Daphnia pulex: one gene and its partners. The protein of the gene in region 3 binds, or shares a complex with, the protein of the main gene of each other region. Links are inferred from orthologs where the notes say so. Each region holds a gene or a part of one and is shown on either strand. Other genes may lie near its edges.

Evidence for each region. Proteins that work in one complex are often made in the same cells at the same time.
Region 1: actin-related protein 2 (region 3) and actin-related protein 2/3 complex subunit 3-like share a complex: the UniProt entries of both Homo sapiens proteins name them as parts of the arp2/3 complex. The link is inferred for Daphnia pulex from reciprocal best matches to the Homo sapiens genes ACTR2 and ARPC3.
Region 2: the proteins of actin-related protein 2 (region 3) and actin-related protein 2/3 complex subunit 4 are in contact, whole or in part, in a cryo-EM structure (PDB 6YW6), measured with the Homo sapiens proteins. The link is inferred for Daphnia pulex from reciprocal best matches to the Homo sapiens genes ACTR2 and ARPC4. Residues at the interface, in NP_005713.1 of Homo sapiens: Tyr222, Val223, Tyr225, Gln229, Glu230, Lys232, Leu233, Ala234, Leu235, Glu236, Thr237, Thr238, Val239, Lys253, Thr308, Met309, Tyr310, Pro311, Gly312, Pro314, Ser315, Asp346; in NP_005709.1 of Homo sapiens: Val29, Val30, Glu31, Arg32, His33, Lys35, Pro36, Glu39, Val40, Ala98, Glu99, Asn100, Phe102, Ile103, Leu104, Arg105, Arg106, Lys107, Leu117, Thr119.

The regions. Positions count from the first base shown.
Region 1 is NC_060026.1:13,599,139-13,604,252, forward strand, and holds actin-related protein 2/3 complex subunit 3-like, read right to left. Parts: upstream 3,066-5,114; 5' UTR 2,801-3,065; coding exon 2,795-2,800; intron 2,692-2,794; coding exon 2,322-2,691; intron 2,256-2,321; coding exon 2,098-2,255; 3' UTR 2,009-2,097; downstream 1-2,008. Other genes in the region: endoplasmic reticulum resident protein 29-like, read left to right, coding at 798-911, 1,079-1,330, 1,392-1,784; vacuolar protein sorting-associated protein 33A-like, read left to right, coding at 3,927-4,036, 4,098-4,185, 4,249-4,353, 4,421-4,715, 4,788-4,914, 4,977-5,043. UniProt on the Homo sapiens protein: Component of the Arp2/3 complex, a multiprotein complex that mediates actin polymerization upon stimulation by nucleation-promoting factor (NPF).
Region 2 is NC_060028.1:5,630,957-5,636,484, forward strand, and holds actin-related protein 2/3 complex subunit 4, read left to right. Parts: upstream 1-2,217; 5' UTR 2,218-2,389; coding exon 2,390-2,392; intron 2,393-2,577; coding exon 2,578-2,696; intron 2,697-2,756; coding exon 2,757-2,964; intron 2,965-3,094; coding exon 3,095-3,265; intron 3,266-3,328; coding exon 3,329-3,334; 3' UTR 3,335-3,520; downstream 3,521-5,528. Other genes in the region: uncharacterized protein LOC124209792, read left to right, coding at 211-956, 1,014-1,770; mitochondrial carnitine/acylcarnitine carrier protein-like, read right to left, coding at 3,598-3,679, 3,749-3,854, 3,957-4,136, 4,210-4,330, 4,395-4,434, 4,511-4,667, 4,759-4,870, 4,932-5,033. UniProt on the Homo sapiens protein: Actin-binding component of the Arp2/3 complex, a multiprotein complex that mediates actin polymerization upon stimulation by nucleation-promoting factor (NPF).
Region 3 is NC_060020.1:5,357,051-5,363,970, forward strand, and holds actin-related protein 2, read right to left. Parts: upstream 4,397-6,920; 5' UTR 4,252-4,396; coding exon 4,204-4,251; intron 4,113-4,203; coding exon 4,002-4,112; intron 3,514-4,001; coding exon 3,434-3,513; intron 3,368-3,433; coding exon 3,232-3,367; intron 3,145-3,231; coding exon 2,935-3,144; intron 2,873-2,934; coding exon 2,723-2,872; intron 2,643-2,722; coding exon 2,364-2,642; intron 2,299-2,363; coding exon 2,131-2,298; 3' UTR 1,962-2,130; downstream 1-1,961. Other genes in the region: activating transcription factor 3-like, read left to right, coding at 1-359, 450-687, 805-1,015, 1,094-1,304; macro domain-containing protein CT2219-like, read right to left, coding at 4,966-5,166, 5,236-5,339, 5,404-5,523, 5,591-5,830, 5,888-5,996; ATP synthase-coupling factor 6, mitochondrial-like, read left to right, coding at 6,515-6,663, 6,721-6,886. UniProt on the Homo sapiens protein: ATP-binding component of the Arp2/3 complex, a multiprotein complex that mediates actin polymerization upon stimulation by nucleation-promoting factor (NPF).

The DNA.
Region 1 (5,114 bases), on a different chromosome or scaffold from region 3:
TAAATAACAGAGTAGCTTAGTTTACCGACGCATGATGATGGGCACCAAGAAATGTGAGGATGCATATCACGTTATATTCTCTCGAGTTTAAATTATTAAGCGCTATCTGACTCAGACAAGCTGTCTTCTAGTCTAGCCATACTTAACTGTCGTCATTAATTGGCACAGGCTAATCTTTCGGCATCGCAATCTTTCCAGCATCATGAACTTTAAGTGGCTTATTTTGTTACGAATGGAGCAGACTATCAACATCCGCAACAACAATTTTATTGGAACCATCCAACGCTTACTACTTAATTAGTCGTCTATCAATTTAGCGCCACGTAACGATTGGCTAATGCCTGTTGTAGGTTTCTTCTTCTTAACTTCGTAATAGGATTGGTATAAGGTGACACTAGGAGCCTATTCTAGAATTAGTTGTCTGCTCAGATTTGAAAAGTGAAATTACGTAATCATCTATAGATAAAATTACTTTTAAATGATTCCTCCCTTCCTACCTATAAGGCTATAAATTACTATAAATTGAGCGTTAAATTCCCGCCGAATCTGTTCTGTCGTGGCGTTCAAATCAACGTAAACATTTTATGTTGACGTGTGCACCAACGTGGCAACATTGTGAGCTGTCATCTTCGAATTGGAAAACGTGTAAAAGAAAAATCCAGAATATTGACTTTTGTTAAGTCGTTTGAGTTATACGGTTTTATCAGTTATCACGGTATCAGTACAGTTATATCAGACGAGAGTGCATTACTGATTATTCAGTATTATTACCAGCGTTCCTTCCAATCAAGTGCATTATGTCTCCTAGTCCTTTTTATCTATTTTTGTTGATCAGCTGTCTGTCCTTTACCAGTGCATCATCTAATAACTGTCAAGGCTGTGTTCAACTGGACTCTTACTCTTTTGAGAAGGCATGTTAATATTTATAAGCTTACCTTTTATATTTTAATGCCTTTGTGTAAATTGATTTTAAATTTTAAACAGGTTTTTCTTTGATATTGTTATTCAACATGTTAAATCAGCCAACAAATTAAGCATTATTTAACATATTATTATTGAAATTGCTTTGATTACCCAGGTTGTATCTAAATTCAAAGCTGCCATTGTGAAGATTGATGTTGCATATCCTTACGGTGAAAAACATGAACAATTCGGGAAATTGTCTTCCACCCTGTCTTCCAATCCGGACATCCTAGTTGCAGAAGTAGGAGTAAAAGATTATGGAGATAAAGAAAATGTAGACATAGCTGAACGATACAAGATTGTCAAAGAAGAGTACCCTGTGATGTTGTTGTTCACAGAAGGAAAGGCTGAGCCAATCCGATACCAGGTACCCAATAAAAAATTGTTAAAGCAAGTACATCAATGACATGGATCTGATTTCTGTGCAGGGAGAATTCAAACTCGATATGATGCAACGATTCGTAAGTTCCACGAGTGGTTTGTGGATCGGCTTACCGGGATGTTTGGAAGTATTTGACGGACTAGCAAACCGGTTTGTAGCTGCTTCAAGCCCTTCCGACCGGAAGGAAATCTTACGCCAATCGGAGGATGAATGGGACAAGGTTTCACTTGGCAGCGAACGGAAATCAGCTGAAGTATACGTCAAGGTTATGCGCAAAATGCTGGAGAAAGGCAACGATTTCCTTCAATCGGAATTATCTCGAGTGGACACACTGCGCAAAGGAAAATTGGCAAAAGAAAAGAAAGACGAAATGGAGAGACGAGTCAACATTCTCCAATCATTCCAGCCGAAACGTCCAGCTGCAAACACTGAACTATGAATCTAATAAAAAACTGTTCTTCTCGGCCATTCGATACATGCCGAATATGGTCCCTTTATTCATATAGTGCGAAGACCAAACCCAGCTATTCAAAGCGATGCATTCTCATTTTCTTCGCAAATACTGTATTTTTTTATTATTTGATGGGCCAATACAGCCATATAGTTCCAGACGTTGTTGTGTTTTTTTCTTATTGGTACAGGCAATAATATTAATGCTAAAAATAAAACTTGAACAAATTAGATTTATTTGATCAACCCATGTTGCACGTAATTAACGGAAAGATAAACGTAAGGATAAACGCAATGACTTCTTACATCCCAGGAGCTGATAATGACTTGTCCATGAACTTCTTTTTAGCAAAGCAGAGCCAAAATTTGGAAGGCTTTCCATCTTCTGTGCAGAAAACTTTATCTACCAGTCTTAAACCCATCTCTTGCCTGGCTTGCGTCAGATACTGCCTCAACAAATCTATTTAAAAAGCAACAGAAATGTTATCAGATGAGAAAAAGCATGTTTTTACAACTGCTACTCTACCTGCTTCATGCTGGCTGGTAGGTTTAGCATATACAGAGTTGAGCGGGAAACCAGGTTCCCCAGGAATGTCAAACTTTGATATTGCCAAGGTATACATCTCGTTCTGAGCTGTATTCTTGTTTGAACACTTTTGGAGCTTCTTTAGGCACTCTGTGATGTAGAGTGTAAGGTAGATCAGGAGTCTGTCTGCTTCGCTTTTGACTTCATATGTGCGGAAGAAGACATTTGCCTTGAAGTAGTACAATGCCTCATCCAGGACATCTGACTCCCCCATTTCTTTGGGAGCTGGCCCTCGGAACTGGGTTTTCAACGGCAAAATGGCCATATTCCCAACGACTTGGGGTGGGTTCAAAAACTGGGAATGATAAGCCTGTTGAAATCAGAAACAACACAATTGTCAGGCACAACACAAACCAACGTATTCTGCACTTTTCAAAAATCCGAAAAATACGACATCTGATAAACAAACTTACCGGCATTTCTGTGGAAAAAAATATGTGCGAATTGACAGCTCAAAAAGAAAAAAAAACACTGAGCCGGCTGATATTGCTCAATATTGAAAACAAGAAATTGTTGTGGTGGAAAAGGAAACCCAGCCCCTTCCTCAAAGATACTATAGTGACTTAGATATCGGCCGACGAAAGGCCGATACGATTACGTATCGATCATGTTGTAATGTCTATCGATTGTTATGCAGCCATTCGGTCGTGAATTGAGCTACACAAAAAAGGTAAGTTTTTTTGCAGCTGTTTTTTTATCTTGAATGCATTGATTTGGCTTGCTAGTCACGTATCACACGCCCGTCTGTGGTTGTGGTTATTCAGATAGAGTCTTGCCACTGTATTATTATCGACCAACGACTCACTCGTTTTCATTTGTTGCAACTCTAGCCAGGCTGTCGTCCTGGTTAGCTCAGAGGCGCCCATTTTTTTGTGTGTTGTTGTTGCCATCGTCGAACAAACTAAAAATAGATTCTCTTCATCACTTGCACATTTGATGTTTACACGTCATCCCTGTTTTGTTGGTACGGTTATCCCTGAGGGTAGTACTTGTACTACCAGAAGGCATTAAAGTAAATGCGGGTGTGTGTGTGTGGAGGGGGGGGGGGTGTGGGGGAGGTACGCTGTTCTGGGCCAGGCTTCCAGAACCTTTAATTCAGAATCAGAATAAATTTATAGAAAACTAAACTACTGCATCGATTTTCTTCAAACTTTTTGTGTACACTTACAGTAATTTATCTCAGCGCTTAGGTAAGTTTCGATTCATTTGGTAATACTAAATTTTATTAATTTTTATGCGGATTTAGTCATTAGCTTTTTGTGACTTAGGACAACCACAAAATCCATTAGGTTGTCTGTTGACAGTCTGTTGATGTCTTGTTCAGTAAAAATAAATTTCGTCAACAGTTTTGTTATTGTTACAGGATATTGTTTCTCTTTTAGAGAAGTTCAGTGGAACAAAGGTATTTTGATGTGTGCTATTCCATTTAAGAAATGTACGTAAATTCATCAATTTTGCTAGGCAATATTTTGGGATGAACAACTCACTGGCCCCATTGGTTTGGTGGCAGAATACAGTTTTCTTAAGGAACTAGATGTTGTAAAAATGTTCCAGTTAAAACCTGGGCGCTTGCCTTCCATATCTGTTAAAAATATACTGTTCATCACAAGACCTGAAGTTGAGCTGATAGATTTTATTGCCGATAACTTGCACAGGTATGAATAATCTACATATTTTAACTTTAAATAGTCAACAATAAGTTGATTTACATTTCAGCGAAGAAAGCCAAGGACATTCTGCTAGTAAGGAATATCAGTTAATTTTTGTCTCCCGACAAAGTGCAGTATGTGAACAGCGGCTCAAGGTTGGTTAAAGTTACTTAAATCAGCGAAGAAGAAATTGTTGACATAATTATTACTTCATTTAGGACAAAGGAGTGTATGGAACTCTTACTTCTATTGATGAACTGCCTGTTGATTTTTTCCCACTAGATAGTGATGTCATTTCAATGGAACTCGATAATGTTTTCAAGGTATTTATTTATGAGCCAAACTTTGAAAGGGATTGCTTGTCATCAACTTCTTCAAATTTATTCTCAGGATTTATATGTTGACAATGAAATCAGCTCCTTACACCAAATGGCTCATGGGTTAATGTCCCTCCAAAGTTTATATGGCATTTTCCCCAACGTTGTGGGTAAGGGGCGCCATGCCCGTAACTTATTCGAATTGATGACTCGAATGCGACGTGATATTGGGGTAGACTGTGATCCCCCCATGTCTCCGTTGTTCGACACTCTCATGATCATTGATTGGACTGTAGATTTGATAACTCCTTTTGTCACTCAGTTGACCTATGAGGGTCTTATCGACGAATTCTATGGAATAAAACATAGTAAGAAAGTATTGTTAGCTTCTGAGTAAAACAATTATTTTACTTGCATTTTGTGGTTTCATTGTTATTTAGATACAGTCAAGTTTCCAGGAGAAAATTTTCAAGCCTCATCACATGCGGGCCAGTCACCTCGCTCTGATGGTAGCTCTGTTAAATCTGTTGTTCTAAACTCGGCCGAAGAGCTTTACGCTGATTTGAGGTGAAATTTTGAATCAGACAAATTTTGCTTCCGACAGTTTTAAAAGTTATTTATTTTCGCAGGGACAAGAACTTTTCAGCCGTGGGTACTGCACTCAGTCACAAAGCTAAAGCTATTTCAGCTCAGTAGCCTGGATAACGCCATTGTTGCATTTGGAGGTGTTAAGGTTTCTGCATTCGCACGCGATAGTGGAGAAATAT
Region 2 (5,528 bases), on a different chromosome or scaffold from region 3:
AGTGTAAAGATCCACATCAACAAAACTAGTACGACATTGTTATTAAATTTGAAGACTGAGAAAGTTATATTTTAATTTTTCTTGCTTTTGTTCGTAGAAAGTGCTGTTAATAAACGGTGAGAAAAACGCGTTTAAAAATGAGCATTTTAAATTTAGATTGCATATTTTCACGAATTAAAATATATCTTTGTATTTAGGACTTTTGGTAGTATGTTATCGAAATTAATCAGAGAAGAACCAACAAGTTTGATGTTAAATACCAAACTATGCCTCATTTCAATGACACATTCGAATACGTTTTTGTCTAGTACGGTATTCTTCAAAAATCAGCCAACTTGTCGGATCCATTTTCAGACTTCAGAAAGACCCGCGAGCCTTATTAAGATTTATCTGGAATGTATTTACCTGAATCGTTTCGGTCTGCGTGCTACAAGAGTTTCAGTAAATCAACCAGAGACGAACTTTGTTGGTTTTATGGAGAGTGTTGAATCATATTCGTCGGTTCAGCAATTTAGTTTGTTGATTCCTTTCAATCGCTTAGCTTCTAAATTGCGTGATATTTGTATCATTTTTGAAGTCCACGTAATTGGAGAGTCATCTTTTTGTTTACAGTTAACCGATTCACAATGGAAAAAACAGATTATTGAATCCATGAATGGGCCATTTACGGACCTCGTGTTAACGGTTAGAGGTCATAAGCTTCCAGTCCACAAATCAGTTTTGGCCGCTCGCTGCCCTGCTTTGACGGCAAAAATAAAAGATGCTGCAGTTGAACAACTTATTTTGGATGAAGATCCTGTTACTTTCCGAAGATTTCTTCATTTTCTCTACACTGGTCTACTAGATGACTGTGATTATTATCTCATAGATATGAAAACGTATGCAAAGAAATACTTCGTAGATGAAATGCTTCCTAAATTTACCGCAAATGGAACAATGGAAAAAATGGTCACGAAGTATTCTTATATTTAATTCATTTAAATTTCATAAACCATAAATTGATATATTTTTAGATGTGAAGCTGACGTGAACTCACAATTAACGAAAGGAGGTGTCGTAATGCAATATTCATGGACGTTGAAAAAGTTGCCAACTTTGAATCGCACAACTTTCTCTAATAAATCAAAGGACGGTATGTGGTTCGGCGTTGGTATTCAGTGTGTACGTATCATCCCATATACAAATTGTAGCGAGTTCGACCTATACTTTTTTACTGGTCGAAACAGTCGAGTGGTTGGTGTCTCATACTTCAACAGATGGGATCCCTGTTCACAGAAGAAACACAACATGGATCTTAATAAAAATCTGGTCTTCACAAGCAATTTCTCCGTTGCAAATGGATACAAATGTTACCAGTTCACGTTCTGTGTGACGATCGAACAAGCGGATAATGAGGAATATCGATACGAATTGCAGGACAGTCTTTGCCCAACTCAGCTTTGGCGTTCCGCTTTGGATGGCATGACCACCGATGTTCAGTTGCTCGTCTCTGGGCGTATCTTTCATGCCCATCGATGGATTTTGGCCGCCCGGAGCCCAGTTTTTGCCGCAATGTTTTCCCACGACATGCTCGAGGCGAATACTGGGTGTGTTGACATCAGCGACATTACACCAAGCATATTCGAACAAATTTTGTTCTTTATTTATAATGGCCGCATACTCGACTCTACCCCTAATTTACTTCTATTGGAGGCAGCTGATAAATACCAAATAGAAACGTTGGTTTTCATTTGTCGGGCTTCTTCATCTCCAATGGAAAAGGACAGTTGATATGGTGATATGTGCTGCATCAACAAATCAGTGCAACAAATTAGTGCAATCGTCAACAAATTAGTGCAATCGTTACTTTGATTCTATGTTTGTTAACCTATTATTTCTCAAAATAAAACAAATATACCGGCATCGACTGCACGTAGCGGATATCTATCTGCATATATCATTTCTAACGCTCCCTTAAAAAAACACACAAAACAAAAGTTTAGTTATAGACTTATCTTCAATTCTACCTATACAAGTAATATATAACAAACTAACAACAAGTCTTAGATCAAAGATATTTACGAAACCCCTAAGGACTAAAACTTGTTTATATTCGGCTTGATTTGTGATCTGTGATCTCACGGTAAATTTCTTGAATAAAGGAAATTGATTGATTGATTTTTTTGCTTTATTTAATACGGGCCCTCTACTGGCAGCAGATTGAACTGTTTCCATTCTTCGTCGGTTCCCATGTTATCTTAAAAAATTGCGGTTTTTGACAGATCCGGCCCACCCCACTGAAAAAAGCCAAAGAAAGCACTAAATTGAGTAGGGCCTAAATAGTGTCCGTGGAACATATTCTTGAACTATCTTAAGATTCTACGCTTTTCAGCTGTGCAAATTGCAAAAAATGGTTAGTTTGCTCTTAAACTTCTGTGTTGTGATTCAAACCCAGCTAATCCAAAAAGAACTTTGAAAATATTATGTTTTGAACTCATCAGACAAAAACACATTTCAAACACTTTACCACACCCTCTTCCTTTTATCATTCCTATCGTCTTATGTGTACACGTATAATTAATATTTTGTCATTTTTAGTCAGCAACTTTGAGGCCTTACTTGTCCGCAGTTAGAAGTACACTGGAAGCTGCAATGTGTTTGGAAAACTTTTCTTCCCAAGTTGTTGAAAGACACAATAAACCTGAAGTGGAAGTCAGGTAAGGTTAAATGAGTGAAAAAATTGAGTAAACATTAATAAATACTATTTTGAAACATAGAACAAGCAAGGAATTATTACTGAATCCAGTTGTTATTTCAAGAAATGAGAAAGAAAAAGTCTTGATAGAAGCCTCTATTAATTCTGTTCGGATTAGCATTTCTATCAAACAGGCTGATGAAATTGAAAAAATTCTTTGCCACAAATTTATGAGGTTCATGATGATGCGAGCAGAAAATTTTGTTGTTTTGAGACGAAAGCCTGTTGAGGTAAACTCTTTTTAACATATTCTAAAATATGTTGTTAAACTCTTTTTAAAATATTCTAAAATATGTTGTTAAGGTAAACTCTTTTTAAAATATTCTAAAATATGTTGTTATACATTGATAATTTCTCTAGGGTTATGACATAAGTTTCTTGATAACTAATTTTCATACTGAAGCCATGTACAAACATAAATTAGTGGATTTTGTCATCCACTTCATGGAAGAGATAGACAAAGAAATTAGCGAAATGAAATTGGCCGTCAACGCACGAGCCCGTGTGTGCGCTGAGGAGTTTTTAAAGCGGGTGTGTTTTACTGTCAATTTTTTCATCAGTTATTACCGACTAACATTTCCCATTTTTTAATAGTTTTAATTCGAGAATTTATTGGATAACTGGAAGAAAATTGAGACCAGATAATTCCCAAGTTTATTTGCATAAAAACCTGTTTCCAAGCCAAGCTAATTCAGTAAAATGATCCGACTTGTGTACAATCAGATAACTCCTAGTTTGAGTTCATGCACAAGCTCAAAAAATAATAAATGAAAATATTACAGAAAACTATATTGTATTTAGTCAAACTGGAGTGTGCATATTTCTTGATAATATCTACTTGGAACAATATCAGTGCTCCGCAATTAGATAGAAGGAGCTAACCAGTTCAAAAACTTCAAAGCCATTTCAAATCCTAAGAAGCAAACGGCATTTGCAGGGAAGGCTCTTTAAAGAAAAATGGACGTTAAAAAATGTTATCAAAAATTCTTATTTAATTAAATATGTCCCTATTACCTAAGAAACACTGGAACTGCTCCTCTATAGAGAGCTCGAACACCTTCTTCGCGCATCAACACTTTAAAGACGTCACGCACTCCATTAGGATACGTTCCTTCGGGAGCTTCAAGTGGGAAAATAATCGAAGATATAAAGTTATCATATTACCTTTCACTTAACTCATTTATTTAATAGCCTAATATCTGATTCTATTAAAAAATATTACCTGTTTGTAGTCTACTCTTCAGTACATCCGGTGGGATGGCAATAATCCAGTTGGCGATTCCTGCCATTCCACCGGCAAACATTGTCCGAATTGGGCTTAATTTCCCGTCGGAGTTTTCTGGTGCAAGTGCAACCTGGAGCCATTCATAGGTCATAAAATAGATCCCGCTGGCTGGAACATCTACCAAATCGAAAGAGAGTTCATCTGTAGTTGCAGAAATTTTCTTCTTGAACTATAGTTGAGTCAACCTTACCTCTGAGCAGTGTAGCTCCTGTTCCCCGATAGATACTCCGTATACCTCCTTGTTTATATAACTGCCGAATACAGTCAATTGGTCCTGCATACTTTGCAGGGCCAGTACTGGCTTGTTGAACCTACAAGCATTGGGTGAGAATTGATATAGTCTTCCTTAATTTTCACCACTTGCAAATCTACTACCTGAAGAAGACATTTAATTCTCTCACCAGGAGCCATGATGCTTTAAGATTGGAAAAAATAATGATTATTGATAGACAATGCTGTTAAAGGTTAAGTATAGTATTCGGTATTCCTACATTGTTGTGCCAATTGCAGAAAATGCTCCTGCATTAAAAAGCTGGAGTAATGATAGCCTTTCATTGGGATGGCTTTGTTGAAGCTTTTTTCCAATTCCAAAGCCTAGAAAACTTATGGCAAAAATAGGTGCAACTCCAGTAATTGGGGCAGCCATACCTTGATGAATAAGAATTTCAGATGATAGTTCAAATTGTCTAATATAATTACACACACTGGAAAAGACCCCAATATATCAAAATATATTCACCTTTATAGAGACCTCGAAATCCTTCATGCTTGATTGTTTTTGTCAAGCAGTCCCATGTTCCACTATACAGAGGAGCCTGTCCAGGTATGATAGGCATTGTTTGAAGTCGAACCTAAAGCAAAATGTTTTTAAAATCAATAAATATCAAGAAGAAGAACGTTCACATCATATACCTTTAAAGTATCAAACGGGTGGCCAACAAATATGGTACAAATACCGCCAAAACCACCGGCAAAAAAATTTTTGATTGGGCTGACTTTATTCACTTCGCCCATTTTATATTTTTTTCTAGTACTAGAACCTCTTGCAATTATTTAGACAAGAAAGAAATAACAAAGTGAAAAAACAGGGATGTGACTTTTAGTGATTGTAATTGTAAATAACTAGTGAAAGAGGAACTGGTTCTTCCAGTCTTTACAGCGCTTCACAGATAGAAACAAGCATGCTTGTAAGTTGTAGCAGCCGAAGCCCGAAAGAGCTGATATCCTATTGCCCCTTTAGGCAAAGTCAGATAACAACATTTCATTGGCCACTACGTTGATCGATACAAAATCTGCAAATTATCACTCGTTTAGACAAATTTAGATTTCATACCATCAATTAAAGTTAACTACTTCATCAAATAAATTTTCTTTCGCAATCGCGAAAAAAAAAATAATAATCGCATTTTACTGAGCAGCACTGAAGGCAATACAATCGTTTTTTTTTTTAGTGTCCATAATGATTCACACTCCCGTAGAGTGGCATTTTGGTGGATTTTTCCGTTTTTT
Region 3 (6,920 bases):
GATCTGCTACCAACATCGGCAACGCTTCCGGCTCTTCGTCGTTCAGTTACTTCCAGTCGTCCTCTTCGACTCCACTGGGAAGCGCAGGAGTCTCAGCGGGACTTCCAGCTTCGACCCCGGGCGATGGCCCTTCATCACCGGGCGAACACGCCTCTTCATCTTTTTCTTCCTTTTCTTCGTTATGTTCCTCGCCGGCCACTCCGTCTACTCCGCCGGCCGGTGGCCCGCCATCCATCCAAAACACTCGAACGTATTTGATCAAGGAGGGACTCAAACTGACGATCCAGAGCAAGCGTTTGGCTTCCGGCCGAGGGTCGCTCGAGTCGGATCAGCACGGCCACATGCCACTCAAAGATGAGGTATTTCTGAATTTTCCGAGTTTTCGTTTACTTTTTTGCGCGTCGAACAGCAGCTGGTAACTTTCTCGTTAATCTCCGTGTTTCGTGCGGATGGGACAGCTGACAACAGAAGATGAAGAACGTCGTCGGAGAAGGCGTGAGCGGAACAAAGTAGCCGCTACCAAATGTCGAAACCGCAAAAAAGAGCGAACTGGCATTTTGATGCAGGAATCGGACGCGCTCGAGGATCAAAACGTTAACTTTCGTTCAGAAATCCAAAGGCTGGAGGCGGAAAAGCGCCGTTTGATGGATGTGCTGGCCATGCACTCGCCCACTTGTTTAAAAACAGGTGAGTTTGACCCAGTCTAAACTTTTTCTTTTGCCGTCGTCTATCGTACGTGGTTCTTATTTGGTTTTTCAACTGTTTTTTTTTTTTTCTGTCTTGTTGTTGCTCATTTCAATTTAGCCGCCGGAAATCACCGTCCAACTCCAACCAGTTGTTCTTCCGACTTCATACAACACGATCCCGGCACTGGTACCGCTTCACAGGTAGGAACTCGAGGTGGTGAATCAGTTGTCTCGTTCGATCATCAGGTTGTTGTTCCTTCGGATCAGGCTTACGTCATGTCGGGCGGCCTATCCTCTTCCAATTATGGACCGATGTACGACTGTAACAGGTACACAAAGAATGCCTCCTGATTTGATTGTGAAAACCAGTTGAAATAATCTACCGAAATTTAATTTGGAATGCTCAGATCCAGTTCTGAATCTGCCGCCATGGCCGGCAATCATCATCATCACCATTCGTCAACTTATGACGTCACTTCCGAAACGTCTGCCGGTAATTACAACAACAACAGCGGCGAAGGCCCTCCGTCGTACGTCAACAGTCAAGTAAATTTGATCCAGCAGCGGGGCTCTTACGGCGGCGGAGATAATAACCTCTCTGGGCAGAATTACCGGTAAATAACATCATATAAGACAGGCGCAAACCACCTATAAATTTACTACCAAGTGCCATCCTTTTTTGTATACTATTATCTACTGCCTCTTTTCTGTATGTTTCTCCTTTTTCGGTGTCAAACGACAACAAATCGGGACCAACTAAATGATTTCATGACGTACATGTATTTATCCGTTTCAAATTGTTTGTTCTCCTTCTCATCGCCCTGCGCAAAGACTAAAAGGTAGAGCTTCGGAAAAAAATAAGAAAAGAATTGTTGTTTAAATGTCAAATCGTAGTCATGGCCGCCTTCTTATCTTCTTTGTGTTAAAGAAAATGCAAGAAGTCAACGGAAAAAAAAAACTACATTCATTCTCCTATACTACGCCTGTGCCTTATCCGAGAATTCACATATCCTTGTGTGCATTTCTTGCGGCTGTTTTTTTTTTTTAAATAATGACGTTGTTAACCATTTTAAACTATGGCTTCATGGTCGTGCCCAGTGTAACCTTTTAAAAAGGTATTTCCCTTCGTTTTTTTTTCTTTCTCCTGTTGTTGCCTTGGGAATGTTAAATATGTCCTCCTCTCTGAAATTATCTGCTACCACGGCCATACTTTCCCCCTATGTGCAATAATAAAATTGCTTGAGTTTTCTTCTCTCGCCTGATTAGTTGCTATAATTACAGAGGCTATTTTTGTTTATTCAGCCAGAATTTGGGGGTCAACAAAAATTAGGGAGGGCGGGAATGTGAACCCAGCAACATGAAAAAAAAAAATGGACATCTGATTAGTAATAACATGACCTTCGATGGGAATCGGAAAAGAGGAACGAGCGTTTAAAATTGCGCGTTAGGAGCGGTTGACCAGTTTGTCCAGCACGCGGATGCCACGCTCATTGTACTCTTCCCTCGACATCCAGAAAGATTCTTTGTCTTTCATGACATCGGCCAATACGGCACCACCAATGAAAACCATGTCTTTACGGCGAGGAGGATCTTCAATACGAATTTTGAATTTCTGCGTGCCAAGAAAAGAGTAGTAAGTAAAATGTACGTCTAGAACACAAAATTTCATCGTTGTACCGTAAGTTTCTCCGTGTCGCCTTTAAGAACTCGTTCAAGGTACAGCTGTTTGATTTCCCGTTCGAGCCTAGACGGAAGTCCGGGATACATGGTTGAACCGCCTGAAAGGACGATGTGTTTGTATAGCGACGGGCGGACATCGATGTCGGCCGCTTGGATAGTCGAGAAGACTAGCTCGGCGATTCCTGACCCTTCAACGTTGATCAAGTGAGGCTGGAAAAGCGCTTCAGGGGCTTCGAACCGTTCACCACCCACTTTGATGACGCGCCCATCTGGAAGCTTTTTTAGAAATCGAATTTTTTGGTTTTTAAATATGCCATGGCCACAGCGACTCGAAGGTAGAATAAAGGGAAACTTACTGTGTATGATTCGACTAAAACGGTTGTTTCGAGAGCCAGTTTTTGTTCCGTTTCAATGTTATAGCCAATATAACAAAGTTTTTCTTTCAACTGGCGAACAGTTTCAAAGTCTGCCGTATGATTGAATGCGTAGCCTCTCAGCAGCAAGAGCTATAAAGAGGAATATTACTGAATTCATGCCAAACTATTGCGGGATGGATCATTGATTCTACCTTGATGAGATATCGGGTAATATCTCTTCCGGCAATGTCAAGACGTCTGGTTAAGTGAGGCATTGCAAACCCTTCGTACACAGGACAAATGTGAGTGACACCGTCTCCAGAATCGACAACAACTCCCGTCAGCAGACCCTGTGCGTAAAGTGTTAGAACTGCTTGGATGGCCACGTAGGTTCCGGCAAATCCATATTTTTCGAACATGACCTGTAACAAACGGCACAAAGATTCGAATTTTTACACACCCATTTCCACCACCACCATTGAAACATGGTGACAATTAAAAACATTTACCTCAATCATTTTCTCGCGATTCTTCAAAGGGTTCATCGGAGGCTCTGTTAGCAAGACCTTACATTGGTGAGGGTCAATGTTCATTTTCTCAGGGCCAAAAGTGTAATCCCACACATGACACATGTCTTCCCAATTCCTAAGGAACACAAACAAGCAGATTTATAAACACCAGTTCAAATTTAATAAATGTATCGATATATACCTAACGATTCCGTTTTCCATAGGGTAGTTCACTTCAAGCATTGAGCGAAGTTTACTCGCGTCATCTCCGACCATTAAATCCTGTTGATAAAAGTCTTCATTAATTTAGATTCAATTAAAAAGAACACTAAGTTACATGCAACTAAACATCAATGCAAAATTCCAACAAACAATATCACACCATAAAGTGCTCAATACTTACAGATATGTGAGCAAATCCCTGATTGAAAGGCAAGCAATTAAGCCAAAATCATGATTCAGTTCATTAGAAAATAACAAAACCTTTTTTTACAATCAAAATCAAAACTCCACAAAGACATTCATGTTATAGGACGGCACAAGTTGGTTTTTTACTATCACTGTTATGACTTTATAGGTTTTTAAACTATATCTGTGTTATAAGAACATGACACAGATTTTTTTAAATGCAAAACATGTGAGATTCCCTCTGTACTTATCCTTGGAATGTCACCTTAATTTGATAACCCTAGAAAGTTTTGTGTGATGTCGAAACCATGGAAATGGACAGTAAGATCGAAACTGCTTGAAAGAAAAGAATTTTATCATACCTTCACTTCGATGTCACCAATTTTGTTGGCAGCGCGAATGATAGGTCGTCCAACCAAAGATGGGAAGATATGTGCTGGAAAGTTTGATCCTGCATATCCAACTTTGACAAACTATCCAACATTGATAAAGGTGAGTTGCTAGTTTGCTACATGGCCGGCAAAACAACATTAATAAATATTTCAAAAGAAAAAAATAACTCACCCCTGTTCCATTATCACAAACTAATACTTTTCTTCCTTGACTATCCATCTCAAAGTTTGTTAATAGTTGATTTTATATTGATAATCTCAATTCGTGAACAATACGACACACAATTTGACAGCGCCCTAAAACCAAAACTACTTCCCGTCGGAGCCAGACGATAGCAGCTCATGGGGGTTGGGAGTTGCCACGGCAACCGATTGCTTAACATCATTGGTTAATCCAGCTGGTTAATCAGTTAACTCTGGTTTTAAATGACTATCTCGAATCGTTATAAAATATTTGAGATAAAGTTTCTTAAAAAAAATTTTGAAATTGTAAAGTATAGATTTTAAATTAATTTGTGAACTACATTATTTTGATGCAATGATTTATCTGAAGAATTTTGGCAACGCCGTTAATCAACCGGGAAATTCAAAATGTTCAATAACAGACAAAAAAGAATTAAATAAATTAAACGAATGAATTGTATATGCATACTAAAGTCAAATACTCTTACCAACACTGAATATTATCCATTGAAGCATGCAACACTAGAACATCTTCTTTAAAGAACATGAAACCAAACTGGCCAAAATCATAGGAAGGCTGAGGAAACTAAATTGAGTAAATTCCTTGGCAAAGCAAGAACTTGATGATGCATTCAAATTTAAAAAGGATATTTCAAAGATTTTTTGCCATTCTTTTATTCCAAGCCTGTTCATGCTGTACACATGTTGTACATTACCAAATTTTCAAAATTTTTCATGTTATCAAATCAGATCACAAAACAGCCTTTACTGAAAAATATTTAGGTAGCAATTCTTGATATACTTTTAGATCTTTATCTAAAAACACACAGAATATCACTCTTTCCAATGTTGATTCATCACTTTCAAGAAATTTTCTTGTTGTTAACAATGCTACTGCAGCTGCATCTCTATTGGGGTAACCATAAACCCCAGTTGAAATGCAGGGAAATACCTAATTAAAATTTTGAAGATGAAGAAATGGAATCCCTAAAAGGTACTAGAATGTAAAATCATGACTTACTATTGTTTTTAGTTCATTTTTATTCGCAAGTTTAAGACTATTAGAATAACAATCAGACAGCAAGTTAGAGTCTTGGTCCATAGGTCCAACAGTCTGAATCACATCTGGAAACATAAATACTGTATAGAAACAGGATATCATTCATACTTTTTCTAGAGAAAAATTTACACTTTGCAGGTAGTTTGTATCCTCCTGTCAGTTTAGCATCCCCTGTTTGACAACCACCTTTGATAGATTGACATTCTTCAAGAAGATAAGGACCAGCTGCTTTATGAATTGCTCCATCAACTGTTGAGGTAACACAAAACATTGATAAACAATTTAGAAATTTTCAATATTCTTTATTAAATTTCACCTCCACCACCACCAGCCAACCTGCTATTGGCTGCATTGACAATCGCTCCAACTTCTAGTTGAGTTATATCCCCTTTCCAAAGAGAAACTTTAGAATTGATTGATAAATTGGGTTTTAAATCAGTATTGTTTCCATCTGATGTAGAATGGGGAATTTCTTTTGATGTCTCTTCCCAAGTTGGAATCTCTTTCACTGAAACACAATGTTGATTTCGAGTTGCAGTGCTTTTTTCAAAGTACTCTGTAAAGAATGTAATTACATGATAAAGCAACCACAGCCTTCTTCAAATTCTAATTATACCTTTGGCTTCCTGCCAATTTTTGAATTCTTTCGCCATAATGGAAATTGATTTATTGAAATATCCCTTCGGTATTAAATATTTACCAATCGTTTGAATGAAATACATACACTACGTTGTTATGTACGAAGCGATTTTCAGGCGATTTTTAGGTGTGTGTTAGTCAGCTGTTAGTACTGATCGGCTAGTCGGCTGCTGGTGATTGCCTAAATCTAAAGGTAAACAATTGCAAATCGTCATAATTTATTTTAAATTACATTAATATATAGATTATGTAATTCATTGATAATTCAAAGTTTTAATATGTAAAGTATTTGGAAAATTTTCATGTTGCATCTGGTATGTTCCTTAAAATATTTCCTTTCCGTTTTCTTTGAGTGTTTAGGGATTTATTGGTAAGCGGCTATCCTGCCATTTTCGTGAATGAGAAAAGTAGACTGAGTGTAGACGACGGAAGACATTTTGGATTGCATCTGTGAGCAACTTGCATAGGTAAATATATTTTACTGTGCGTCTCCTTTCTTGTTAAACTTTGTATTGCATTACCGATTAATTTGTTGTGAGATCTGTTTGTAGTTTCCAAATATTTGTGAAGGCTAAATGATCTATACTCTCAGGTCATCAACATGTTTGCGACTCGAACCCGGCTAGCTGTTCGTCAAGGAACAGTCCTGCAGAGGCAGTTTGGAATATCTGCAGTTGTTGCTAATAAAGCAGTTGATCCCATTCAGAAACTCTTTTTGGACAAACTGAATGAGTACAAAGTCAAGAGCAAGTATGTATTAGATTTTATCATTTCTGTTACCATCTGTTAATTATTGGTGTTCTTTAGAGCTGCCGGAGGAAAATTGGTCGACCCATCTCCTGCTATCCAGAAAGATATTGCAACTGAGCTGGACAGAGTTCGCCGTGTTTATGGTGGAGCTGATGGAGCCGATATGACCAAGTTCCCCACTTTCAACTTCCCTGAACCCAAAGTTGATCCCATTAATTCTTAAACACTGAGAAAAATATAGTAGTGGTAAGACATTA